Linked DNA regions of Xenopus tropicalis. The protein of the gene in region 7 purifies or fractionates together with the protein of the main gene of each other region. This does not show direct contact. Links are inferred from orthologs where the notes say so. Each region holds a gene or a part of one and is shown on either strand. Other genes may lie near its edges.

Region 1 (2,197 bases), on a different chromosome or scaffold from region 7:
ATTTCCTATCTGATCCCCCATGTTTCTCTATGAGGGGGCGGCCATATTTGTGCAGCAGGGGTCTGTTAGCATTAGAAGCTGTAACTGACAGGCTGAGAAGGGACAGTCAGGTTGGCAAAACAGTCAGGTTTGGGAACTTGAAGTAACAATTACTCACACAGGCAGCCCTATCAGTGAAAATTGATCAACATGACTTATAGGTAACTTTTTATGTAGATTCATATTTTAAAAAGTAGTTTTTTCATGTCAGTATCACTTTAAGGCATCAAACTAGATGTTAATGACAAGGTAAACTGAGTTTTAAAAACATATTGATCTAAATTGCATAGTGGAGCATCATTACATGTTTGTCTTTACTTCCCATGCATTTTCAAGCCACAGGTAGAATTTTCAGGAAAATGTAACTGAACTTGATTAGGTTGATTAAAGTTCTGGGTTTGGTGTTTACAAAGATGATAACACAAGTTTATGGAGAAATTTAAATAACTGAGCTGGTTTCTATGCAAGTCTTTACATAAACTCCATGAAGTTAAATATAATTCTTTTTCAGGATTATTAGTAATCTTGTAATTTGTTAAACTACCCCCACCCTTATCTAAGAGTGATTGGCCAACCTTGGTAATTCTCAGGTCTAAATTTCAGTAGACAGCATTATTATTATGACTATGGGAATTATTATTATGATTATAATACTCAGACTTTCGCACAGAATCCTATGTGAACCAAGTTGCAATTTGCCTTTAGAATAGCCACTCCTGTTGTGATTTATTTCCAATACATTTTACATTTTCTTAATTGTAGATTTTCTGCATGAGAGTGTAAATGCTTTTTTAGGCTTCAGAGCCTTTATAACCGTTATATATATGAATTAGAAAATCAGACATGCAATGTAACATGTACTGTAACAATTTTTCTCTTTAGCCGATTCTTATTGGGACTGCCCCTGTGGGATCTGGACTAAGCTGGCACAGAAGACTCCCTCTTTGTGTTGTGGGGGGATACCGCAAGCTATTCTTCTGGCTCACAGAAATGTAAAAAAAAAAAAATAACCTTTACTGTAACGGTTTCTAAAATGTTTTTTTGTAAATGTAACTTCTTGGACAGGGCATGATTATGTTCATCTACAATCTGTCTTATTTAATGTTTTGGTCTTCAAAACAAAGGATATGAATGGACCTAAATAACCAACACCACTCGTTCAGAACACTGATATAATTGTCGCTTTAATTTATGAGCAAAGTTGTAGGTCATGAGGCACCTTCTGTACCCATAACTAATTTCTTAGGCCCCTTAAGACACTTACATGGAGCCAAGACAAACTACTCCATAAGTCCAAGGTGATTAAAGTTGCCTTTACATATTACATTTTTGTTCAAATGAAAAATTGCATACTGACTTTCCAGGAAGAACATTTTTCATAAAGTGCTGCAAATAGACTAAATCTATATGCTGAAGATCAGTGACAGCAAGTTTTATAGCTGCACAGGGAGGACATTGATAGGGGAACATAATGCTGAAAAAGTACACACGGCTTTAGTACTGAGAATATCTTGCCAAAGCCCTGAATGAAAAACATTACTGTCGACTACCAACATCAGTAGCTGTTAAAGAACAATGGCTTTTTCTGTTAATATGTACATATGTGCATATACAACATATTTTTTGGTCTTTATAGGCTTATAAACTTAATTTTTATATAAAAACTTGTTTATTTTTTATATTGTATTTTTTATACACTTGAAACTGGTTCCTTTCATTGCATGGCTACATTTCTAACTGTTTAATCATAATGTACAAGTATCTTGTTTTCTGTGTCTTATCCTGACAATCTCCCCCAAATTGAATGTTAAGATCTAGTTCACATTACAATTCTTCTTGGATTGTGTAGAACAAAGTTGAATATTTTGACGTCAAAGTGGGTTCAAATTTTGTGATCTGTCACTCTGCCCAAACAAAATCATACTGCTATTTTTGCCGACGCCAAAATGTCTGCTCATTAGGTAAGCCTGAGTCAACAGTGGGTTTATTATGTGTAGGCCCATCAGGAGCTGTGCTTCTGGCAGGAACTGTTAGGACATGCCCACTCCTCATTTAAAACACAGACAGAGACCCTAGCAGATCTATAGGGTGCTCCGGTAAAAGGGTCATATTGTGACCAGCAGGATATATGGTTCCTTATACTGTATTTTGTGTGGCC
Region 2 (3,500 bases), about 120 Mb from region 7:
GGAGGCTGCTTGACTGAAACAATCTAAAGCCTGTGGATAATAAGGAGAAATTAACACCTACTGGAAAATAGGAATACTATGCTCTGTATCACATGGAGCTGGACCCCAATAGGTATGATGCACAAATAGAGTTGTCATAAGAATGTTATTAGCAGAGTTTCACCTTGTGTCCTTCTCCAGCAACCAAGTAACACTGGGCCAACATGAAATGGCAGGAACCAACATTAACTTGGCACCATGGTAAAAGCAGCCGGACATATTCCTAGATGAAAGGGCAAGAAAAAAAAAATGAACAAATTGCAGGATAATTTAATTGACTTTATAAAGTCATGTGTAGGAGAATAAACTACATCTTTACCTGGAGCTGTGTGTATTGGCAGTTTCTCATCAGGCATTCTGCAAACTGGAAGTTAGGGTTACTGGGCCATCTGGTATGTGGCTGGGGTTAAGGAACAGGACCAAAGCCAATAAAAGAACAGTCAAGAGAGATACCCTATCAGAGTTAACCAGAAAGTGAGGTCACAACTGTCCAATAACATTACCCTTTAGCCCAGAGCAAAACATTGTTTCTAACCTTCATTTATTTGAATGGAAAGCTATGACTGACAGCTATAAACATCTGCCTGCAAGTTTCCACTTTATTATGTATCAATTGCTAATAAAACCACTGTGTGCATGGTATTTTGGTTACAATTTAAACTTACACTTAAAATTGGAAGACTCACTTACTAAGAGCAGGACAGGGTGCAAAGTACGAGCACAAAACTGCATGTTTTTAGTACCTTGCACCCTGCCCCTGGGCACAAGTCTTATGTGAAGTGTTACGCCCACACCACAGTGCTCTGCGGATGGACCTAAGATTGGCTCGGTAAGATCCTCTAATGCAGGGGTCCTCAAACTACAGCCCATTGGCCGTATACAGCTCCCCAAGGTCATTTACCCGGCCCCCGCTGTGTCCTCGCCTCTGGCTACTACCTGTCTGCCACACGTCACCACGTCTCACCGCCCAACGCAATAGTTTGAGGACTAACTACAGTCCACTCCCCAACAGTCCAGGAACGTGAACTAGCCCCCTGTTGCCCCCCTAATGTCAACTGCTGCCTTGTTGTGAGGGCAAACTGGACCATACTAACTGGAGAGCTGCTGGGAAAAAAATGTAAATAATTCAATAACCACAAAAAATAATATGACACTATGAATATCTGTCTACCTCATACTCCCAACACAATCTAAAGGTAAAACTACTGTTTTTACAGTAAAATGAGTGCAGATGGCACACAGGCAAGGATACAGAAGTTGTAGGAGGTAGCTGGTAATGCGATGTATAAGATCGGCCCAGTTTAAAGATCTGTGCACCTGACTTGAACCAGATTGAATGAAAAGGTGGGCAAAAACTTGAGGGAAATGTTTTCTTCCTACATCTTCAAAAAACAATTCCACAATGGTCTGGATTCCACTGGCTAATGGGGAAAAAAATTAAACTGTAATGCATGAAGAGCGCTGAAAACTTTAAGATAAAGACTCCTTTAAGATAAAAAAGTTCAAGAAATCAATACTTACTGTATCTGCGCTTCTCTACTTGAGAATCAGAAAGCTCCAAAACTGAGAGGTGCTGCAGGTTGGACTCTCTATAAGGAAGGCAAATAGCGCTCTGTGTTTATTTTAGAATCAACAAATAGATCCGATTTGCATATATTGTCATGACTCAGTGGAAAACAATTGATGTGATTAAACACAATACTAAAATTATATAAACTGTATTATTGTCATTTTTATCTTGGAAAAAAACCCAAAAAACAAAAAAAAAACTTACAATAAATCTACTGGGACAGCACAGGCCAAACACTGGCTCCCCCAGCGGATCATGTAATAGGACAAAAGCAGTTGAGCGGCGCGAGGGATAAGTTCCTGCTGAGAATGAAGAAGCTGCCCTGCTCCAACCAGTGCCTAACAAAAGATAAAAAAAAAAAGGATCGGTTATGTAACACCCCTTTTCAATGGGATTGTCCCAATCCACGACAAACTAAAATATTTGTACGTATTGCCAATGACTGACAGGTTTTCAATATAGTTTATGTATAGTTTATGTACAGGAGAATATTTCAAAGAAAAAGTTTCTTTCACCAGAGGTGAGGGCTAATGGACCCTGCACTCATACTAGAGGAAACTATTTTAGGCAAAAAATGCTTGTAGTGAGTGCTATGCCACTCACAGAGAGAGAGAGGTCCCAGCTGGGGCAGCCATCTTGGGACTCAAAGCATGCAAATAATGAGGAGTGTTTCAGCTTGCTCATTGTGCATATGTGTGACATTGTTTCAGGGGAACTGTTGGTCTTGGTAATGTTGTTTGTACATAGACAGGAAAAAGAATTGTGTACAGGGAGTGGTTGTCATTGAAACATTCTTGAAGTAGGGTTCTTAGAGTTCTTAAATCAACTAGCAATCTGGCTAAGTGGCAGCTGAGATTCAATGTTGCTAAATGTTAGGTTATGCATTTGGAATTTAAAAATATGCAGCCTCTTATACCCTTAATGGGACTGCACTAGACAAATCCATTATGGAGAAGGACTTAGGAGTCCTTGTAGACTTGGCTGTAGGAAGCAATGGCAGTAAGTAGTGATATGGGAAATTAGGTTCTGTCCTGTATTAAAGGGGCATAGATTGGCGGGAGGACGTGGGCCACTTTACAGAGTGCTGTATCTAGAATATAACCATAAAAAAAGAGAAAGCTATTTTGTTTTTACAATTAAGTTTTTTTAAATGGCTGTGGAATTGTACTCACCATGTCCCCTAGCCTCAGCAAGAGGTGCTGAAGAATAAGCAAGTCCCGACATATTAAGAATCTTGTGGCAGAGATTTTGTAAATGGCTTGACATACCACACTGGAAGCAGTAACACTCCCATAAAGAGTAGAAAGATTCAGTCTCACATTATGTTGCGCTGAAACAGACCCATTAAATACACCATTAAAATGCAGTCTTTTATAAACACACAAAACTTTGCAGAAACCCAGACTTACACTGTTCCATGTCCATGTTGGTTTCATAATCCATATTTTGAAGCAAGAAACTAATAGCTTGTATTGGATTCCTGATGTCCTGCAGTTTATTCTGAATATTTTCCATGATGTTGTCTCTAGTGTTCATAAAAAAACAAACAGATATTTTACAGTCTGTATTTTACCTAATAAAGCAATTTAAATCAAATTTTACACGTTACACTTTTTCTAAATCAGGACAGTTTGGTTGTGCTTTTTTTAAATTGGTGCTGAAATAGTAACCTACAAGGAATATCCTGCTTACTGCTGCTCTACCATAAAACACTGTAGCAAGCAGGGCTTTACAGATGATGTGCGACTGGCACAGATAACAATTCTTATTTCCTTACATGTCATTGGCTATCAAATCTTCCAAAATCTGCTCTGCAACTCTCTCTGGTGACTGTGGGTGGCAGCACGCACTCTCCATCTGATATGCCATGTCTTCGGTAATATAATCTGCT
Region 3 (4,289 bases), on a different chromosome or scaffold from region 7:
TGGTGATAGGTTCAGTTGCCAAGGAAAGTAAAAGCTGTGTTCGGGCCCCAAGTGCCACCCTGAGGCTAATGCAAAGAGCGCAATAGCATAAAAAGTAAATATTGCTTACATAAACAAACTGGACCAGCTAAATTTTTTAGAACCAAATGTAAATATGCTCACTTAAGGGATTCAAACAGCACATTTTTTTTACTATATGTAGAAAGTTTATTTCTGTCAGGTGAAGTTTGTATTATTTTTTATTTTTGTGGGGAGGGCCAGACCATTTGGCAGTGTATACAAGAATTTTAGGAAAGTATATACTGTACATGGCAGTTTAGGGAGAGCCCATTACATAGCTAAAGCATTGGAAAAATGCTACCTTTTCATCTCTGCTAGCTACAGTGCTGTATTTAGGTTTGGTGCCTGTTGGGTTCACAGTGGAGTTGTGCAGGATAAGTAGAAAGTCAAGCTGGATAACACATGTAGCTGAGCTAACATTTAGGCATGCAGCTCCCTCTAGTGGTACACAACAATGCCACTCTAGACACCAGACCTAACTATACCCCCTACTTTGCAGATGTGACATCATTGTGCCCGTGATGTCACATACCCCTACGTTGTGAAAGTGACTTCACATGCTGCATGTGCGTGGTGACAATTCTGCAGTGCAACCCAACCCCCTACCATGCACCCCCAGCTCCATTACCAGATTTACTAAGGACTCTGGCACACGGGGAGATTAGTCGCCTGCGACAAAACTCCCTGTTCGCGGGAGTGCCATCCCGCCGGCGACTTACAAGTTCGCCGGTGGGATGGCGGGTCATGGCAACTCGGGGAGATTAGTCCCCCGCGAACAGGGAGTTTTTGTTGCGGGCGACTAATCTCCCTGTGTGCCAGAGCCCTAAGGCTGGGGGCATATATATATTTTTAAATTGTAAATGTAATATATAGGTGCATATTTGTAAAAACTGTATAACTTTGCCCTTCTCACCACATCCCTGCCCAATTTGCCTATTTATGTTATGATCACGTCTCCTTGTCCCACCTGCCCCTTATGTCACCGGCTCGCCTCTTCACTATGTGGCCAATATGTTTCTGTACAAAATGTGGCAACTTTAGGTACAGCCCAATGTGCTTTCCTCCTATAATTTATAAGGTGCATGATATACAGTAAAACCCCCATTTTACATTTCTCAGGAGACCAGAAAGAAATGATGTAAAATTCCAGGAAAATGTAAAAGCAAAGAAATGTATTATGCATTAAAAGTCGGTGGGTCCACCTAAACAGTGTAAAATGTGGGAAAACCCAAAATAAGGTTATTTAAAATTAAGGTTTCACTGTAACACAAACATAAGTCCCTCTTAATTAAATTATTAGGCCACAAGCAGGACTTCTATATGTTAACCGTTTGGTCTTGTATTCCTTTACGCTGTAAAACCCAGTATGAAAGGATAACGCTATATAATTAATAACAAAGTATGTTTAGCGCAAGCCATAGTCACTGAACTGTACTGTGGCAACGAATGCGTTAATAAACGCATTTCATTTTATTTCCTTACTCCGATCACTGGTCACCTCAGCGATTACTCTGTAGAAAGTATGGCGGGGAAATTATAGCCAATGAAAGTACAGTTTGGGTTGTTGAGAATTGCCAATCAGAACGCTTGTGGCAGACAAGGCGCCGTCTGGCGGCTTTTTTTCAGGCTCTGCCTCTTTTTTTCAACATAGCCCTGTAATCTGGACGTGTTCGTCATTAAGGGGGTAGTGGTGGCATAGCCAACCTCAAAATTAAGGGTGTCATGGACGATAAATTCGCTGCAAAATTTGTCTCTCACAAAATTAGCAGAACTCGCTGGCGCCCAGTGTCGGCCTCGTCGCTGCAGCAACCGGATGTGTTTGCTACGGGTTCCTGGGATAATGAGGTATGGTTGTGGCACGGGGAAATGTGTTTAACCAACATTCGGAGTAAACTAAAAATCACAATGATACGGCTGTAGGTGATCTATAATACCCTGAATCCCCTGCTGTCAAACTCTTACAGTTATTTAAACTACGGAAGAGCAGCATTTCCCAAGTATTACATGGTTAATTTAGATCATTGTAATAATTGTGCAGCCATGTGTTTGTACTCATTGACGTATTACCCTCTACAAGAAGCTTACAGTTTCCTGTAACACAAGAGCCCTGGGTACACTTAATGGGGGTTGGTAAATCTAGTCATTTTCCTAGCACAATTTTAATTATTATTGACACAGCACACCACAAAGTGCCAGAGTGTGATGTAGTTCCACTGATGGCTACAAATGTCAAATAGCACTGCCTTAGAATCCGAATCACGAATGGGAAAAAATCGTATTGGAAACGAAAATTTCGTAAGATCGCAAATATCACGTAAATGCTTATGACAAAATCGTATTAGTCACGATAATATCGGATTGGCGACCCGAAAGTCATGAAATTTTCATACCGAACAATTGTAAACAGCGGTAAAACCTTTCCGATTTTTTCGTGCAAACGTCTGAAAAAGTTGAGCGTCGTATGAAAAAGTCGTGCGGACGCCCGAAAAAATCTGCGAAAATACGCTCGGAGCGTTCACATGAACGCTCGTGCATTCGTGCTTTTGTAAATGTGCCCCTTAGTGTTAAGGCATATCAAAGTTTGATATATTTAGTGAAAGTTTTGCATACAGTTTTATGACATGTCAATACACTACATATACTGATTTTTTTTTTTTAATGCTCAAGGAAAACAAGGTATGTGTGTGGGCCACTTCAGACTTTGGGGCCATAAGTCTAGAAGAAGAATACCAAGGAGATCCTAAACAACTGTGTGACATCAGACACATTGGCGATGTTATGGACATGCAGGTACCTTAACAAAGGAACTTTTTATTTACACTACATAATTACATTCTGTTGTTTCCTCTACATAAGGATATTCTTATCTCACTAGCCAAGGGACCAATTGCCCCCATACTATATAAAAAATAGCCATAAAAGAAATGAAACTGTATGAAATCCCGGCCCTTGAAGAAATAGGCTATTCAACTACAATTTATTCAAATTCACTTTTCCTTAATAAGTTCACATAATAATTTTATTTATTGTATTGTCATAGTTGGTGCCTATTAATAAGTGGTGGAAAATGAGAGGGCCCTTTTGTGTTTGAACTTTTCACAAATCTTAAGACATCAGGCAAACTAATTATAATGGTATGCTAGTTTGGGTCAAGTCATAATAGTGAATTATTTGACTTCATTAGATATTGATTGGAGTAAAGGTCCCCATACACCTTCAGATTCCCTCGCTTGGCGATGTCGCCAAGCGAGCTGATCTTCTCCCGATATCCCCCACCTATTGATGGGCGATATCTGGAGAATCCAGGCTGATTTGATCTAATTATAACGACGGTATAGGCAAAGTTGGTTCAGGGTCCGCATCAACAAGCCGATGGGGTCCCCGATCCGACTAGGTTTTTTTAACCTGCCCGATCGAGATATTGGTTGGGCAGGCCCATCAGTAGTGCCCATACACTGGCGATTAGCTGCTGAATCGGTCTAACGGACTGATATCGGCAGCTAGAATCGGCCTGTGTATGGAGACCTTAATATTAGTGTCAGAACAGTTAATTTAACAAGTTTACAAACTTACTAAATAACAATTTTATGTCACAGATTGTTCAGGGCCCCTAAAGGAATTATGCTATACTTGACCTAGTGATAAAACAAATGCACTAGAAGCCCAGGGTAATGGTGACCATAATGTTATCTAAATGAATATATGAGTGTTAAGCTGCATGATATGTGGGAGTAAGTAAGTTAATAGGAATGAAGAGGAAGGCTTTTAAAAACTACAAGTGAGGGGACAGATGATTCTTGTAAAGAATGTTAATACCACAAGTGTTGTAAAGCAGCAATAGGGAAGGCAAAGGTGAAATACTTTTGGAGATTAGTCTTTGCCTGTGCAGCAATAATCTCCTCATTTTCAAAGTATCTAAGTTATAAAAAGATGTAGGTGTGGACTGTGGAAATGGAGGTGATTTGGGTATAAAAGACCATAGAAAGCAAATGTGCTTAAGGATTTCTTTTCTACAGTGTATACAGTAGAGAAGTTGGGGTTGCAAGAACCACTAGGCAAGGACACAGATGACTCAGCTCTATCAAGTCAATTGATGACTCAGGACATGGTACTGAGTCACAGTATGTACTGCCTGCCCTATGTTGCCTTTGTGTATGGCACAGGCAGCATAGGGCAGGCAGAGTATGGCACCCACAGGCAGCATAGGGCAGGCAGAGTATGGCACCCAC
Region 4 (4,147 bases), on a different chromosome or scaffold from region 7:
CTGCTCCCACGTAGCAGGCAAGCAAGCAATAACTGTTCTCACCAGGGGACACACACTGATTCCACAGAGGACTTTGTAATCACTGGCAACCCTGCAGACTCTTCTCTTTTCAATCTGAACTAACAACAAGTGGTACTGGCTGCTCACTCTGTATCTCTCTTCCCAAAAAAACCAGCAAAACAACAGGGGCTCCCTTTATCAACTGCTGGACCCGCCCCTTGATTTTTGGCTCCAAACTTAAGCACACCTCCTCCCAGACTGCACTGGGACATCCAGCCAATCGAGTTCTCTGATCCCCTACACATGAATGCTACAGGTACTGCTTTTGCCAACTCCTGGTCTGGGATCTCTTACCCCCTGCCCCTGATGCTCCACCCCCACAAAGTCTGCACACCTTGCGCGCAGCACTTCCCCCCCTTCACAATGTCCACGTGCATTCATTCACAGATGGGGTTGCAGCGGGGGTGAGGTGGTCGGCCAGGTTGCCTAAAGGTGGCAATACAATTATGCAATTATGCTATTTCCTGCGACCACTTTCATTCAAAGCTGAATTGTCAGATATGGAGGTATCCAATCTACCGATTCAGCCTTTAACGTAGATTTTGCAGCCTTTGGGTTATTAGTTTATAAGGTTATTAGTCTCATCAATCGCCAGCTTAAAGCTTGGCCTGCCTCTAAGTCTTCTACTAAATCAGCCCTTAGTTTGCACAAAACCACCAGAACCCTCAAAGTACAAAAAAACCCCTAAAAACATGACCTCATTTCACTTGGCCCTAGTTTTCACAATAACTCTTCCCTTTTTGGTCAGACTGGGAGAAAAGGTTCTGACGGCAGCCGGTACCGTTAGCAACCAGGAAACTCTTTTTTAGCTCCCTGGCAATGACAAGGATCTCTGAGCAGAAAAGATAATTGACTTGGAGGAAATATTGAGATTCGAGGTGGAGGAGAGCAATCACCTCCTAAGAAGAGTCTTTTTTTTCCCTTTTTGTTCTCCAACAAAAGTAGGAAGTGCGAGCAGAACAAATCCAAGCTACTTATTAGCAGCTACCAATTGTGTAACGCCGCCTTACTGGGTAGCGCACTGTCTCTGCTCGTCACTCCCATAAGGCGGCTACGTGATGCGTCACGACGCTTGCGTGTAGTTGTACGTCACAGTCTCGCGTGAGGAGACATGTGGAGTCGGGATTTTCTGTAAGACAGGAGGCTAGGAGCTTGCAATTAACAGCTTTACGGGAGGAGTAAGTAGCAAAGGTGTAAGTAGCAATCTGCGGCTGCTGGCTGTGTTACGAAAATCGGGATCGACAAGCGGGACTGTTGGGTAGTATTCAGTTAGGGGTTAGTCAGGGTCCCTGCTGTCAGTACGCTGCACACTTTGAATGGGAGGGCGGGAGCTTACGGTACCTACATGTTCTCTCTCTGCAGCTTTCGGTACTTCTGGCTTATTCACAGAAGTTTTAGTCCCGTTCTATTGAGTAGACTGAAGGACTGTTCTCCCTCTAGCCTGTATGTATCGGTCTGCTAGACTTTTCTGTTACATGTTTGCAACCTTGTGTGCATCATAGCGGGACTTTCTCACAGAATACACATCGAACATAGGAAGGACTGACCCCGTGTTGTGCTCTCTTGCAGCAGGACCAGCATGGATATGCTTTCGCCGGTAGTGCGGGAGGCAGAGGTTTCTAGAGCAGCTCGCCGCCAAAGCTCCAACAGGAGGAATCCTGGTATCCTTTTGTAATGTGAACTATCATCACAAATCACTGGTGTCCCCAATAATATCAAACGGGAAGGCTTTTGATCAAACAAAAATGACATTGGAAGTTAACAGAAATTTTTGGTTGTCATTTATCTATTACTATAATTTCTTTGTGATTAGTGTTTATGTTTTGCATGTCATTTTTTTCTAAAATCAATGGAAGGGCCCCTCCTTTATTGAGTCCCCTTTGTTTTAAATGGTTAAGGCTTCATTTTTAAATCTGTGTTGATTAAATGTGATAGTATATTTAAGTTTGCAGTGTCTGAGTATTACTCTAATTAAGGAAATAACCCATCGTAGGAGTAGGTTGGGTGGGTTTTTATTAATATTAACAGGCTGTTTATGGACCACAGATGTTTGATAGCAGTACCTGCACCAAAAACACAGTAATAGGCCTTTTATTGTCTTTGATGGGTTAATTTAATAAATGCGTCTTGTCTTGTAATCCATAGGAGCCAATCAGCATGTAGCACTTACTGCTATGGGTTAATATGTGTGACCAAACTTAAGCCTTTATTACATTATCCTACATGTCTCTAAAGCAAATAACATGGTTAACCCTGTCTCTTAGGCATTCCCCGTCATGACTCCCTGACTTTTTGCCTTACATGAATGCAACAGAACCAGTATTGCACTTTTTTGTTCTTTTTTTGTTCTGAGGCTATGCATGGGCAATGCAATTACAGTGTAATAAGAAACGCAAACAACAATAATGATTAGTTACTTTAAGCTGGAAAGTCGGCTAATATTTTCCCGGTGCTTGCTTGTTTCCCTGGTACTGTTTAGAGAGGAAATATTGAACTGATTCCAGAAAAAGCTTTTGTTGCCACACTTAACGTCTTGCCTAGCTGATGAGAGCTGGAGCAATGCAACACCAGCAAGAGGCCCATTATCTCGCACAACAGGACAAACACTATTTCGACAGCACAGTAAGATGTTTATATATAAACTGGGTCTGCAGTTGATAATCATGGGCTTGTTTGATTCATCTTGTAGAAACTGTCCCACTGACTTGTGTTTTACAAATATCAGCATTCAGTCATGGTTATTATAAAATTCAGATGAGTTTGTATAGTAACCTGCTTGTGTAGACATTTTGGTTAAGGGCATTCTTGCTGTTTTGCCATTTCTTGATGATGATATTCCTATTCCTGTCTTGTGCTTCCTGTTAAGCTGAGAGCAGGCCAAATCTACCTGCCATGTTCTAATAAATATACCAAAAGTTCCAGTGTGTATCTGACTACTTTACCTGAACTAACACAGCCGCAGTATTAACCCACTGCTAGCCAGCAGTTTATTACAGTGGGGGCGAGGATGAGATTTATAATGCTGAGAGAGGGTCTCTCGAACTACAGCTCTGACAAAATCCTTAAGCCATATCTTGAAAAGAGAGATGAGCTTTCCATAGATCAAGGTTGTTTACTGTGGGGGATACGGGTTGTCATTCCCCCTAAAATATCGTCAGAGGCTCTTGCATGAACTTCACGAAGGCCATCCAGGTGTAAACAGGATGAAAGCACAAGCTTGTGGTTACCTGTGGTGGCCAGGCCTGGATCAAGATATAGAATTTTTTGTAAGTCAGTGTACTGCTTGTGCTTCTGTAACACGAGCTCGTGCTTTCATCCTGTTTACACCTGGATGGCCTTCGTGAAGTTCATGCAAGAGCCTCTGACGATATTTTGGGGGAATGACAACCCGTATCCCCCACAGTAAACAACCCTTATCTATGGAAAGCTCATCTCTCTTTTCAAAATATGGCTTAAGGATTTTGTCAGAGCTGCAGTTTATTACAGTTTGGATATAAGAAAAAAGTAATACTGAACATAGTATTTATGCTGTGAAAGTCTTTTTTTTTTTTTTTTGCTTTCTGGTATGTAAATGTACTTTTCACCTTTACCTAGTGACGCCACAAACCTGGAATTCTTCAAGGCCACCAGATGTTTCGGCAATACTGGGCACTGTAGGGCGATCACCTCGCTTGGTACAGACTCCTGGGCGTTTGGCAAACATGTCTATGGTAAGACAATCCATTCTACAGAAGGCATTAAGGCGGCACAACACAGGCAGATTTCAGCTGCCGATTCAGGTCCTTAAGGCCTTAGGGGCAGCTTATCTGCCCGTGTATGGGAACCCCCGACAAGCCTAGCCAACTGACATCTGGCCTAAAATTGTGCAGATTCCGACAGGTTTGATTTTTCCATTGGATGAACAAGCCGATGCGGTCCTCGGTCCGACGGCACTGTCTAATTGGCCCAATATTGCCCACCTAAGGTGGGTAATTGGAAGAAGATCCGCTCTTTTGGTGACCTTGCCAAACCAGTGAATCTTACAGTGTATGGCCACCTTTAGTCTTCAGTTTCTCTTTCATGTGATTTATCCTATACGTATTTTGTG
Region 5 (3,500 bases), on a different chromosome or scaffold from region 7:
CCCTGGGAAAAGTTGAGAATAATATATATTATATTATATTAGATCCGGCACTCAAGCCAATCGGTCACAATAGCCTGGGTGCAGGTCCAGGTGAAGAATTAGATACAGCAGCAAAGAGATCCGCACTCACAGGACTTATAGAATTAATATGGAGTTTATGGTGTAGTCTTCTACACCATATTAATTCTATAAGTCCTGTGAGTTCGGATCTCTTCGCTGCTATCTGTATCATCATCTATAGGATATATCTATCCTATTAGGAAGTTATTCGGGAAGTTGGTCAGGCTTTTCCCATGGAAACCGAGTTTTAAAATGTCTTAATGTAAATGAAAAGAAAATGGAATCATTTGCAAATAGTATGAAGCCAGCAGATCAATTGAATGGAACATGTGAGAACAATAGCAGAGCCTGCTGGAATCTTTGAGGAAAGGACTGTTAGGAAGTAAATGATAGATCTTTAAGGGAGGGGCAGTTATGCTACAGATGTTGCCTTTCGTGTATTTGGACCCAGCTTGGCAGTCGTATAGTTAAATGAAAGTAACTTTTGTCTCTCTCTTCCCCTTCCAGACCCTGTTTGGTAACAAACCTGCTGGTTTCGGGACGACCACGACCAGTGCCCCTGCATTTGGCACTACGACTGGCGGGCTCTTTGGTAACAAACCAACCCTGACTTTAGGAACCAATACAAACACTTCCAATTTTGGTACATATGAGAAAACAAACCTGATGTAATCTCTAACATTACACTGGGTATACCACCTGTCCCGCTGCGCCAGACTAAACGCAGATGGATATCGGGCAGCGCTAGGACTGCACAGACTAACTGCTTAACTAGCAGGAGAATCTCTGTAATCTCCGCCTAATCTCCTATTAGTGCCAAGTGGAATGCTATTGCACCTACTGTCAGTATAATAGGCTATTGCCTTACCTGGCATAATGCATGTCCCTCGCCGTGCCCAGAGCTTTCATCATTCCGTGCAATGGAACAGCTTGGAGTTTGCCAACATAAGCGCTAGTTATTGCCCCAATGTGTGGCGTTCATGCACGGTAATGTTCGGCTTACCCACAATCCTCTGATTTTCTCTGCTGCAGTTCACAGGTTATTGGTGCCTGGCATGGCCACGTGTGCACTATCACTACTAACCTAGTGAAGCCTCCTAGTGTGGTATACACAGTGTATCCGAGCACTTCACCTCTCGCACTCTAAGAGGGAGTTTTATAGCCTTTTCTCTTCTAAATAAACTCGGCAATACAATTATATAGGGTTACATTTCCATTTCTCATTTTGGTATAACTGAACTGTAATTGTCTTTACCTGCATTCTTTTCTTTTACCTGCTTTACTTTCTCCCTAACTCTCTGCCTGAATTTAGGTTTAATGTTTGCATGATCAATGTCTGTTAACTAATTTTGCATTGGGCACCGTGAGTTTGTGTTGCCCTCCAGCGGGAAAGGGGGTCGGAAATTACACAAAAATAAGAATATATGAATGCATTTTGCCTCTAAGAAGGCAATAGCTGATGGAGGCTTCAGGGTATTCTGCCATTGCCCGCTAAGGCTCAGATCTTAGTATCCCACAGAAGTGCCCTGGGGTTCTGGTGATATTGCTCACAATGAGGCTTCTACCCTTAATTGCCACCATTGGGTCCTAGCAGAGGTATTTCAAGCCTGGGTCTGTTCAACAGAGTTAATAATGCAAGCACAACTGCAAGGGGTTAATATGCAGTGAACTTAATGATTGGCCGATGTCCAGTACCCTAAAAGGGTCACTTTTTATCCTGGGGGGGGGCTCTCCCACAGCACTTGGCTTTGCTGATGAAGCTTCAATGTGTTTTTCATCAAAACTCCCCATAATAGGTCATTCCTCTGCCCCATTACCCCCATAGGTCATTCCGCTGCCCCATAATTTTACCCCTGCAGTTATATTGGGAAAAGTGATAGACATTTTAAAACCAGTGCCCTAATCATTGGGCGCTCTGCTGCAAACTCTGCTCCAATCCCTATGCTTGTTGGGCTGATAATTGATCATGTGTAATATATATCCTGTGCTGGTTGTTATGACTATGCCAATGAAAAGGTTTGTCCAGTTATCCCATTACGGTTAGAACGAGGGATGCACCAAATCAATTATTTTGGGCTTTGGGTTGGAGAAAAAAGGGTGGATTGTTTCAATGTTTGTGACAAAAATTCACTTTATTTTAAGGGTGTAGACACACACACACACACACAGAGCTACTAGTAGAGCAGCTACTTGTCGTGACTACTAAACTAGACAATGCTGGTCACTAATAATTGTCCCTATGTGTGTTATAGCAGAGGCAATTCTCAATATTGTCTATAGCAGGGGATTTTCTGGAGTGCAGTAGCCTTGGAAAAAATAGCTGCTACTAGTAGCCCAGTGTGCCTTCACCCTAAGGGTTCTGATTGATTTCATGAACTGGATTTGATGTTCCTAGTTAGAGCCTATGAGATGTACATGTTTCATGGCCCTGCTACACAAGTATTGACTGTTCAACTGAAGATTTGATTTTATTAATGCAGAATAGCAAATACTGAAACACTAAAAGCAGGATTAATATTCTCATTGGGGGCAAAAGTCCGATTTCTCTGTAGAACCTCACCCAGATATGATTCCTTTCTCTCAATTCCAGTAAGTACGTGCAGGGCCCAGAGCGTAACCTTGTCTGGCTTTAGTGCTCCGCTAGGGGAAATGCACTTGTAACTGGCACTAAATGGCTTTGGGATCTGCTGAAATTGGGATATTTATGGGTTTTCCTCTCTACTCTTGGTGATTCACAAATGCCATTTTAGAACTGTAAATGTTTAAAGGAGCTGACCCGTCTATATTTGTCCTAAAGGGTTTGGTTCAAACACAGCAGGAACCAGCCTGTTTGGCAATAAGACAGCAACGGGAACCATCGGGCCGAGCCTTGGGACGGGCTTTGGAACAGGTAAAATTGAAAAATGTTTCTAATATAGTTAGTTAGCAAAAAATCTAGATGGGCAGATGTCTAACATAATGGCCAGAACTGACTAGGGGGCACCACATGGGACAATTCCCATAGAAGGCAATGGGAACAGCTTTGTGTCTGTTGGCACAACATGATTGTGCTGCTTATAAATGTGCTTTTGCCACGGCTTTTCTTGCCAATAGTTGGGTGCATATAGGAAAACTGCAATGTGTGGTTCAAGGAGAGGAATAATTAATTCTTGACTTTTTGTAGCGCTAAACCCCGGGCAGACATCTTTGTTTGGGAGCAACCAGCCGAAGCTGACTGGTACACTTGGTACGGGAGCGTTCGGCAATGCCGGGTTTAACAGTACCTCAGCAGGCCTGGGATTTGGAGCGCCTCAGGCCCCAGTCGGTGAGTGCTGTCTTTTTATAGGAGAAAACTAACCTTTTGAGCACCAGGGCTAATTTACTGTTATCTTTAATTTGCTGTTTTACTTTGCCTTGAACTCTTCTTATTACTTGTGTCTCACAGCAGCCCTGTCTGATCC
Region 6 (3,500 bases), on a different chromosome or scaffold from region 7:
TCCTTTCACTTCCCTGGTTCTTCAGCAAAGTCACAGGGTAAACCCCCATATAATAATAGTATATATAATAATAATAATAACTCCTCCTTATCCGTAGGCCTGAGACATAAGCCGAGTAGGGGGACCAGGGGTGGTGATAAGGGTAAAAAAGCGGCACAGTGATCCGTCGGTGCTTTACTTCTTCCTACAATGATAGACTGATCCTGATCCCCGTGTATCTTTAATGATTTTTTTAGAGTGGTAGAAGTTGGTTTCCCCTGAAATTTGGCTGGTTGATGGGAAAAGGCAAGAACGAAGCGCACTTACCTGATGACAGGAATAAATCTGTAAGGACCTTTGTTGTTTAGTAGCTCCGCGCTCACTCTGTATCCCCTATCAGCTGCTCTCGGCCTCTCCGGTGGTGCCCTGCTTGGATACCTACCCCACTACTTACCTGTAAAAGCTTATATTGCCCCCCTGCCTTCTGTCCCTTGCTTTGCTTCACCCGGCCAATCACAGTGCAGTACGTTTTATTATAAGGAATTACCCAGAGTGCTCAGCGTCTCCCTTTCTTTTGTTGCAGATTGTGTGGGATGAGAAGAAGCAGAAGTGGGTGAACATGGATGAACCAGAGGAAGAGGTGAGCCGGTGAATATTGGGGTGGGGGTACCCTATAAATATACCCGGGGGTACAGGTAACATAACATCCCAACTCTCTTTCAGAGCAAACCATTGCCTCCGCCGCCACCAGGGATGCTTAAAAAGCCTCAGAGCACCCCAGCTGTCCCAGGGGGTCCCCCCAATCCTTCCGTCAATGTATTCTCCATCAGAGCAGGTAATATAGCTCAGGTGCTAGTACGGTCAGGGCTGCCATTGCTGGGGGGTACTGCTTTCAGGGGCCCCAAGGCAAAAAAAACCCCCAAAAAAACCAAACAGGTTTTCAGGCCAATAAAGGGGGTGGGGCTTGTAAAGGAGTGGGTGGGGTTTGGATGGGTGGGGTGGGTTTATTTATGAATGGGGTTTGGTTTTTCATGAAAGGGGCTTTGTAACAAGCCCCACCAATCTGGGGGTCCATCTGACCAGTGGGCATATAATTGATATAATTGGGCCCCCATGGTGCCTACTCTATTGCTTTGGGAGAAAGGATAGAACCTGATTTAATACCTTTTTTTCTGAAGTTGACCTGGGTTAAAGTTGTTTAACTTTTAGTATGATGTAGAGAGCACTATTCTGAGACAATTTGCGATTGGTCTTCATTTTTTGTTATTTGTCATTTTTGAATTATTTCAGTTTTTGTTCAGAAAATTTCTCATTTTAGCAGTTGTCTGCTTGCTAGGGTTCAAGTTACCTTAGCAACCAGGGAGTGGTTTGAATGAGAGGCTGGTATATGAATAAGGGAGGGGCTGAATAGAAAGATAAGGAATAAAAAGTAACAATAAAACTGGAGCCTCACAGAGCAATAGGGTTTGGCTGCTGGGGTCAGTTATCCTGTTGCTAGGGCTCAAATTACCTTAGCAACCAGGGAGTGGTTTGAATGAGAGACAGGTATATGAATAAGGGAGGGGCTGAATAGAAAGATAAGGAATAAAAAGTAACAATAACAATAAAACTGGAGCCTCACAGAGCAATAGGTTTTGGCTGCCGGGGTCAGTTATCCTGTTGCTAGGGCTCAAATTACCTTAGCAACCAGGGAGTGGTTTGAATGAGAGACTGGTGTATGAATAAGGGAGGGGCTGAATAGAAAGATAAGGAATAAAAAGTAACAATAACAATAAAACTGGAGCCTCACAGAGCAATAGGTTTTGGCTGCCGGGGTCAGTTATCCTGTTGCTAGGGCTCAAATTACCTTAGCAACCAGGGAGTGGTTTGAATGAGAGACTGGTATATGAATAGGAGAGGGGCTGAATAGAAAGATAAGGAATAAAAAGTTACAATAACAATAAAACTGGAGCCTCACAGAGCAATAGGGTTTGGCTGCCGGGGTCAGTGACCCCCATTTGAAAGCTGCAAAGAGAAAAAGAAGGTAAATAATAGAAAAACTATAAAAAATAAATAATGAAGGCCAATTGAAAAGTTGCTTAGAATTGGCCTTTCTATAATATTTTACCTTTAGGTTAACTTTTAATCTGTTATAGAATGGCCTATTCTTAGCAACATTTCAGTTGGTCCTCATTTTATTTATTTTTTTCTATAGTTTTTGAACTATTTGCCTTTCTCTTCTGCCTCTTTCCAGCTTTCAAATGGGGGTCACTGACCCCGGCAGCCAAATCACTATCGCTGTGTGAGGCTCCAGTTTTATTGTTACTTTTTATTACTTATTTGTCTATCTAGACCCTCCCCTATTCAAATGTGTCTCCTTTTCCAATCACTGCCTAGTTGCTAGGTTAAACTGCACCCTAGCAACCAGATATCGCCTGAAATTCCAAACTGGAGAGCTGCTGAACAAAAAGCTTAATAGTTCAAAAACCACAAATAATAAAAAAAATCAAGACCAATTGCAATAGCATTTTCTACATCTAAAGGTAGAGAAATGGCTTTAAAGGGTAAATCAGCCCTCCCTCCTGTTTTTTTATGATATTGGCAATTTTTTCACTTCGAATAACGTTTTTTTTTTCTCTTTCCAGCGGGGGCAAGAGGTCGTTATGTCGATGTGTTAAACCCGGGGGGTCCCCGGCCTACCAACTCTGTCCCTCCGCCTGCGGACTTGTTTGCACCTTTGGCCCCCATGCCCATCCCCACAAACCTCTTTGTCCCAAACGCAGGTAGGAATCTGAGTTCCCATACCATAGAGTGTGGGGTAGATAGTATCCCTGGCTTGGGGGTATCTGGATAACACGACTGCTTTCTATTAATGACAGTGCCGGAGGAAGCCCACCCTGCGGAAGCCAGCGGGGCAGAAATGGTACCAGCAGCCGGCCAGATGGGGCCCATTAACCCTCCCCAGGCGCAGGTACCGCTGCTGCTGCTTTTTAGCTTGTACTACCCCTTTAAGAGATTTAAATGGCGCTTATCCATATATTTTCTGTCTATTTCATAGTTGCCCGGTTTGACCCCTGGGTTGGATCAGGACGAGGGGCAAATGGGAGAGGTAAGAAGCAAAACAATGATACCCAGCTGGTGTCCGTTATCCGAGGAGCCCCATCCCCCCCCCCCCCCCCATTTAACCAGAACATGTAACATTAGAACTTTCATCTCCCTCATCCGGGTCCGGTTACTGTGTGTGAGTGTGCTGTGCTGCCTGCGCTCTAATGCTGGCCGGGCAGAGACCTTCCGTCACTATTTCATTCATTCCCTGCCTATCAGGGAAGTGCAACCTCCCAACTCCCAGCATCCCTTGCCAGCCTTGCTGGGATGTTGCAGTACAACAGCAGCCGCAGGTTGGCACTTTAAGCAGTTATATCGCCCCCCCCTTCATGTTCACCCTTGAGTTAACGTTTAGTATGATGTAGAGAGTAATATTCTGAGACAATTTGCAATTGGTCTTTATTTTTTATTATTTGTAGTTTTTTAATTATTTCGGT
Region 7 (4,154 bases):
GGGGCCTATGTGGGGGACGCCCGTACACCCCAGTTCGAACCTGCCTATTTGGTCACTTACAGTTATACAGAGACAATTTCTGTGTTACTATCAACAATGTTAGGCACCCCAAGTAATTATAAACCAGTGCTCCTGTTTGGTGAAAACTGCATCAACCTGGGGTACTTCTGTAGAAGCACCATATGTAAACTACTTCCACTCCTTCCACTCCCCAGACCAGCACATGTGCTGCAGAGTGAAAAAGCTGGCTTTTTGCTTAAAGTTCACTCTACAGCCCATGTGCCTGATATGAAAAAAAGATTGTGATGTGGTGCTCTATAGAAGACCCTCGGTTTTGTGCAGTTTTCTGCTAAAAGAAGCGCCGGCTCAGGGTTTCAGGTACGTGATTACAACTTTCCTTCTCTTTAATGGATACTCTTTTGAGCTTATCATATTGCACAAACTGGCTCTACTCACTGAAGGACAAAGTCTACCGATGACTGTGCTGAGCAGCCGCAGATACAAGGCCTCCCCTGCACAATCCTGGTTAGCAATCTAGCTGCATGGAAACACTATGAATTTGGTGCATACCAAGGGCCAAATTCATTAAAGTACGAATTACAAGTACGATTTGCGAAAATTTGCATTAAATACAAAAATTTCTAATGTGCGTTAATTTTGTGAAAAATCACGTTGTGCTTGTACGAAAATATTGTGGTATGATCCGAAAGTTACGTAAATGGCGCGAAAACCTTTCTGACTTTGAACCTTCTGTGCATGATTTTGGAAGCCTCCCATAGGACTCAATGGCACTCTGCAGCTCCAACCTGGCCCAAGGAAAGTCTCCCATAGGGCTCAATGGCACTCTGCAGCTCCAACCCGGCCCAAGGAAAGTCTCCCATAGGGCTCAATGGCACTCTGCAGCTCCAACCCGGCCCAAGGAAAGTCTCCCATAGGGCTCAATGGCACTCTGCAGCTCCAACCCGGCCCAAGGAAAGTCTCCCATAGGGCTCAATGCCACTCTGCAGCTCCAACCCGGCCCAAGGAAAGTCTCCCATAGGGCTCAATGGCACTCTGCAGCTCCAACCTGGCCCAAGGAAATTCTCCCATAGGGCTCAATGGCACTCTGCAGCTCCAACCCGGCCCAAGGAAATTCTCCCATAGGGCTCAATGGCACTCTGCAGCTCCAACCCGGCCCAAGGAACGTCTCCCATAGGGCTCAATGGCACTCTGCAGCTCCAACCCGGCCCAAGGAAAGTCTCCCATAGGGCTCAATGGCACTCTGCAGCTCCAACCCGGCCCAAGGAAAGTCTCCCATAGGGCTCAATGGCACTCTGCAGCTCCAACCCGGCCCAAGGAAAGTCTCCCATAGGGCTCAATGGCACTCTGCAGCTCCAACCTGGCAAAAGGAAAGTCATGATACCGAAGCTTGAATGAATCCAAAACTTTTGTACTCGTTGCGACAAATACGATTTTGTCACAGAAATTGTTGCAAAGTATGAAAAAGTCGCTCAAATAAATGAAAATATCGCAGAAAATACGCAAAAGTTGTAAACTTTAGAAAAAATAACATTTTTTTGTAATCAGACCTGTCATACTTTAAAGGAACAGTAACACCAAAAAATGAAAGTATATAAAAGTAACTAAAATGTAATGTGCTGCTGCCCTTCACTGGTAAAAGTTGTGTGTTTACTTCAGAAAGTCTACTATAATTTATCTAAATAAGCTGCTATGTAGCCATGGAGGCAGCCATTCAAAGGAGAAAAGGCACAGGCACATAGCAGATAACAGATAAAACACTATTGTATTCTACAGAACTTATCGGTTATCTGCTATGTAACCTGTGCCTTTTCTCCTTTTTTCCAGCTTGAATGGCTGCCCCCATGGCTACACAGCAGCTTATTATATAAATTATAGTAGTGTTACTGTAGCAAACACCCCAGTTTTACCAGTGCATTATATTTTTATTACTTTAAAGCTCTTTCATTTTTTGGAGTTACTGTTCCTTTAATGAATGTGCCCCCTACTATACACATGCCCTTCCTATAACACACAGCCTTGTTATACAAAGCCAAAACAATCAGGGTTGAATGTTACTTCAGGCAATGTGGCCCCTCATTACTTTGATCCCTTATCCAGGCACATCAAGGCTGCGGATGGAGAAGAGAGGCCCCCTGAGATTGCTACCAGCAGATACCTGTACCATATTGTGCAGCACTGTATAATAGAAAGGAGCATACAAAGGGTACAGAGGACCCTGCTCAGTAGAGCTTACAATCTAAAAGAAGGGTGTATGAAACAGAACTTTGCAGAAAGGCCCTGGCTCCTGTTGGTGTCCAATTTACAGCCCTATAAGTATTGTAGAACTACAACCCTCTGCTCTGGCTGTGGGTGGAACAGGTGGAGGTTGGACATACTCGATGCATATAGATTGCATACATGCCCTCTCTGCCACACCCAAGCACCACTTTTACGCCCTGACACCCTACCTACTATACTGAGAACCTAAATGACGATGTAGGAGGACAGCCCTGGGTGCTGGCACACACTGAACACTATGACAGTAGGCAGTCCCCCAGAGCAGCACAAACTCCTGCCTACCAGGCGCTACTCACCATTTTCCTAGACCGAGTGAGGTTCCTTAGCTACAAAGTAACTCTCCCCTATTCTCAGACGTGGCAGCTCCCGGCAGCTCCTCGCAGGATCTTGCTCAGCAGAACTTCCGGGTGTACAGCGCTTCGTTTGCTCCGGCTGCAACAATAATCACTTCCGGGTGTAGTGCGCTGCAGGACCCAGCCGTACTTCCGTGTCCGTACTTCCGGTGCGCAAGTTCGGTCGGATTCTAGTAGTTTGAGCGCGTCACGTATAAATGCGTACCTTGTACGTGAAGTAAGTCGTTTAGGTCAACAAGACGATTACCTTCATTTATAATGAATTTTAACATAGTACTAGTGAGTGAGAAGTTTCAGTGTGTTACTTAGTGACTATTGACTGTACGTAGCGGAGAACTAGTGGCAAACAGCTTAGAGAGAACAGCATCCCTTCTGTGAGGCAGCCAGTATATCCACTGTATTTAGAGCAGGTTACCAATGCCAGATTATGTGAAACATGAGTGAATTATTTGCTCACCTTTTACAGTGAGCCAGCTACCAAAGCAGCTTGGGGTAGTGACTGGGTTACCATGTTTCCCTTGCTCCAGCTAGGCTTTTGTATGGAGCACTGTACTTACATGCTTTTGTCTGGATTGGGATAGAAATGCTCTATTTATATTCTGTTCCATAGAGAGACAGAAGCCTATCAAGTTCTGCGCTTCCAAATGAACCAATGTGCACATCATGTATCACACACATAAATGGTGCTATATATACGCTCCCTTATAGTACCTATACTAATGTATGTATATCTTTATTTATAAAGCACTACTTATGTATGCAGCGCTGTACAGTAGAATTCATTAATACAGACAGGGGGTTAATAAGATAATAATAGATAAATACAAAGTATAACAAACAGGGGGTTAATAAGATAATAATAGATAAATACAAAGTATAGCAATAAACACAGATAAATACAGCTGCAATAAGTTAAGAGTCGAGGACACAAGAGGAAGGAGGTCCCTGCCCCGTAGAGCTTACAATCTATATGGGAATATACTAATTAACTGTAGCTCTTAATGATACCAATAGCCTTGGATATTCTGCTTCTTCAAGAACTCATCCAGGCCCCTCTTATAGGCATTAAACAGAATCTGCCATTACCACATCACTAGGAAGAAAAAACGAATGGCACTCAGGACTACAAACAAGGGTAAAACCCTTTTAAAAGTTTATTGCGGAGGTGCAATTTTTTTGCACCTCCGCAATAAACTTTTGAAAGTTTTGAAACCCTTGTTTGTAGTCCTGAGTGCCATTCGCTTTTTTTGTTGCTACAGTGTTTTTGGAGGGTGCCGATCCCTCCAGCAGTGTGCACCGGACAAATTTTTTTGGAGTGTTAGGGTGTGCGGTTAAGGTCTCTGTGGTCCACATCACTAGGAAGGGCATTCCCCAACCTCACTGCCCTCACAGTGAAGCTCCCCCTGCGCTGCTTCAAATGAAATTCTGCTCCTCTAGTCTGAAGGGGGAATCTCTGATGTGTTCTTTTCTATGGGCAAAAAGATCCCCCACTAGCTGGCCATA

The links.
Region 1: the proteins of sec13 (region 7) and nup37 purify together in Homo sapiens (affinity purification with mass spectrometry; 5 studies listed by BioGRID and IntAct, counting the BioPlex papers as one, with this or other methods). This does not show direct contact. The link is inferred for Xenopus tropicalis from reciprocal best matches to the Homo sapiens genes SEC13 and NUP37.
Region 2: the proteins of sec13 (region 7) and nup160 purify together in Homo sapiens (affinity purification with mass spectrometry; 4 studies listed by BioGRID and IntAct, counting the BioPlex papers as one, with this or other methods). This does not show direct contact. The link is inferred for Xenopus tropicalis from reciprocal best matches to the Homo sapiens genes SEC13 and NUP160.
Region 3: the proteins of sec13 (region 7) and nup43 purify together in Homo sapiens (affinity purification with mass spectrometry; 3 studies listed by BioGRID and IntAct, counting the BioPlex papers as one, with this or other methods). This does not show direct contact. The link is inferred for Xenopus tropicalis from reciprocal best matches to the Homo sapiens genes SEC13 and NUP43.
Region 4: the proteins of sec13 (region 7) and nup107 purify together in Homo sapiens (affinity purification with mass spectrometry; 8 studies listed by BioGRID and IntAct, counting the BioPlex papers as one, with this or other methods). This does not show direct contact. The link is inferred for Xenopus tropicalis from reciprocal best matches to the Homo sapiens genes SEC13 and NUP107.
Region 5: the proteins of sec13 (region 7) and nup98 purify together in Homo sapiens (affinity purification with mass spectrometry; 4 studies listed by BioGRID and IntAct, counting the BioPlex papers as one, with this or other methods). This does not show direct contact. The link is inferred for Xenopus tropicalis from reciprocal best matches to the Homo sapiens genes SEC13 and NUP98.
Region 6: the proteins of sec13 (region 7) and sec16a purify together in Homo sapiens (co-immunoprecipitation; 4 studies listed by BioGRID and IntAct, counting the BioPlex papers as one, with this or other methods). This does not show direct contact. The link is inferred for Xenopus tropicalis from reciprocal best matches to the Homo sapiens genes SEC13 and SEC16A.

The regions. Positions count from the first base shown.
Region 1 is NC_030679.2:49,117,406-49,119,602, reverse strand, and holds the end of nup37 (nucleoporin Nup37), read left to right. Parts: intron 1-921; coding exon 922-1,035; 3' UTR 1,036-1,697; downstream 1,698-2,197. UniProt on the Homo sapiens protein: Component of the Nup107-160 subcomplex of the nuclear pore complex (NPC). The Nup107-160 subcomplex is required for the assembly of a functional NPC.
Region 2 is NC_030680.2:15,991,165-15,994,664, reverse strand, and holds part of nup160 (nuclear pore complex protein Nup160), read right to left. Parts: coding exon 3,387-3,500; intron 3,135-3,386; coding exon 3,019-3,134; intron 2,940-3,018; coding exon 2,782-2,939; intron 1,948-2,781; coding exon 1,814-1,947; intron 1,629-1,813; coding exon 1,561-1,628; intron 1,461-1,560; coding exon 1,292-1,460; intron 429-1,291; coding exon 359-428; intron 263-358; coding exon 164-262; intron 31-163; coding exon 1-30. UniProt on the Homo sapiens protein: Functions as a component of the nuclear pore complex (NPC). Involved in poly(A)+ RNA transport.
Region 3 is NC_030681.2:58,289,835-58,294,123, reverse strand, and holds the start of nup43 (nucleoporin Nup43), read left to right. Parts: upstream 1-1,489; 5' UTR 1,490-1,782; coding exon 1,783-1,905; intron 1,906-2,727; coding exon 2,728-2,850; intron 2,851-4,289. UniProt on the Homo sapiens protein: Component of the Nup107-160 subcomplex of the nuclear pore complex (NPC). The Nup107-160 subcomplex is required for the assembly of a functional NPC.
Region 4 is NC_030679.2:58,822,486-58,826,632, forward strand, and holds the start of nup107 (nuclear pore complex protein Nup107), read left to right. Parts: upstream 1-1,347; 5' UTR 1,348-1,405; coding exon 1,406-1,503; intron 1,504-1,629; coding exon 1,630-1,721; intron 1,722-2,601; coding exon 2,602-2,682; intron 2,683-3,654; coding exon 3,655-3,770; intron 3,771-4,147. UniProt on the Homo sapiens protein: Plays a role in the nuclear pore complex (NPC) assembly and/or maintenance. Required for the assembly of peripheral proteins into the NPC. May anchor NUP62 to the NPC. Involved in nephrogenesis.
Region 5 is NC_030678.2:177,452,780-177,456,279, reverse strand, and holds part of nup98 (nuclear pore complex protein Nup98-Nup96), read left to right. Parts: intron 1-567; coding exon 568-652; coding exon of another isoform or gene 653-703; intron 704-2,857; coding exon 2,858-2,950; intron 2,951-3,223; coding exon 3,224-3,364; intron 3,365-3,484; coding exon 3,485-3,500. UniProt on the Homo sapiens protein: Plays a role in the nuclear pore complex (NPC) assembly and/or maintenance. NUP98 and NUP96 are involved in the bidirectional transport across the NPC. May anchor NUP153 and TPR to the NPC.
Region 6 is NC_030684.2:6,531,904-6,535,403, reverse strand, and holds part of sec16a (protein transport protein Sec16A), read left to right. Parts: intron 1-236; coding exon 237-326; intron 327-562; coding exon 563-619; intron 620-702; coding exon 703-814; intron 815-2,603; coding exon 2,604-2,741; intron 2,742-2,837; coding exon 2,838-2,929; intron 2,930-3,016; coding exon 3,017-3,067; intron 3,068-3,500. UniProt on the Homo sapiens protein: Acts as a molecular scaffold that plays a key role in the organization of the endoplasmic reticulum exit sites (ERES), also known as transitional endoplasmic reticulum (tER).
Region 7 is NC_030680.2:131,808,915-131,813,068, forward strand, and holds the start of sec13 (protein SEC13 homolog), read right to left. Parts: upstream 2,801-4,154; 5' UTR 2,598-2,800; coding exon 2,595-2,597; intron 1-2,594. UniProt on the Homo sapiens protein: Functions as a component of the nuclear pore complex (NPC) and the COPII coat. At the endoplasmic reticulum, SEC13 is involved in the biogenesis of COPII-coated vesicles.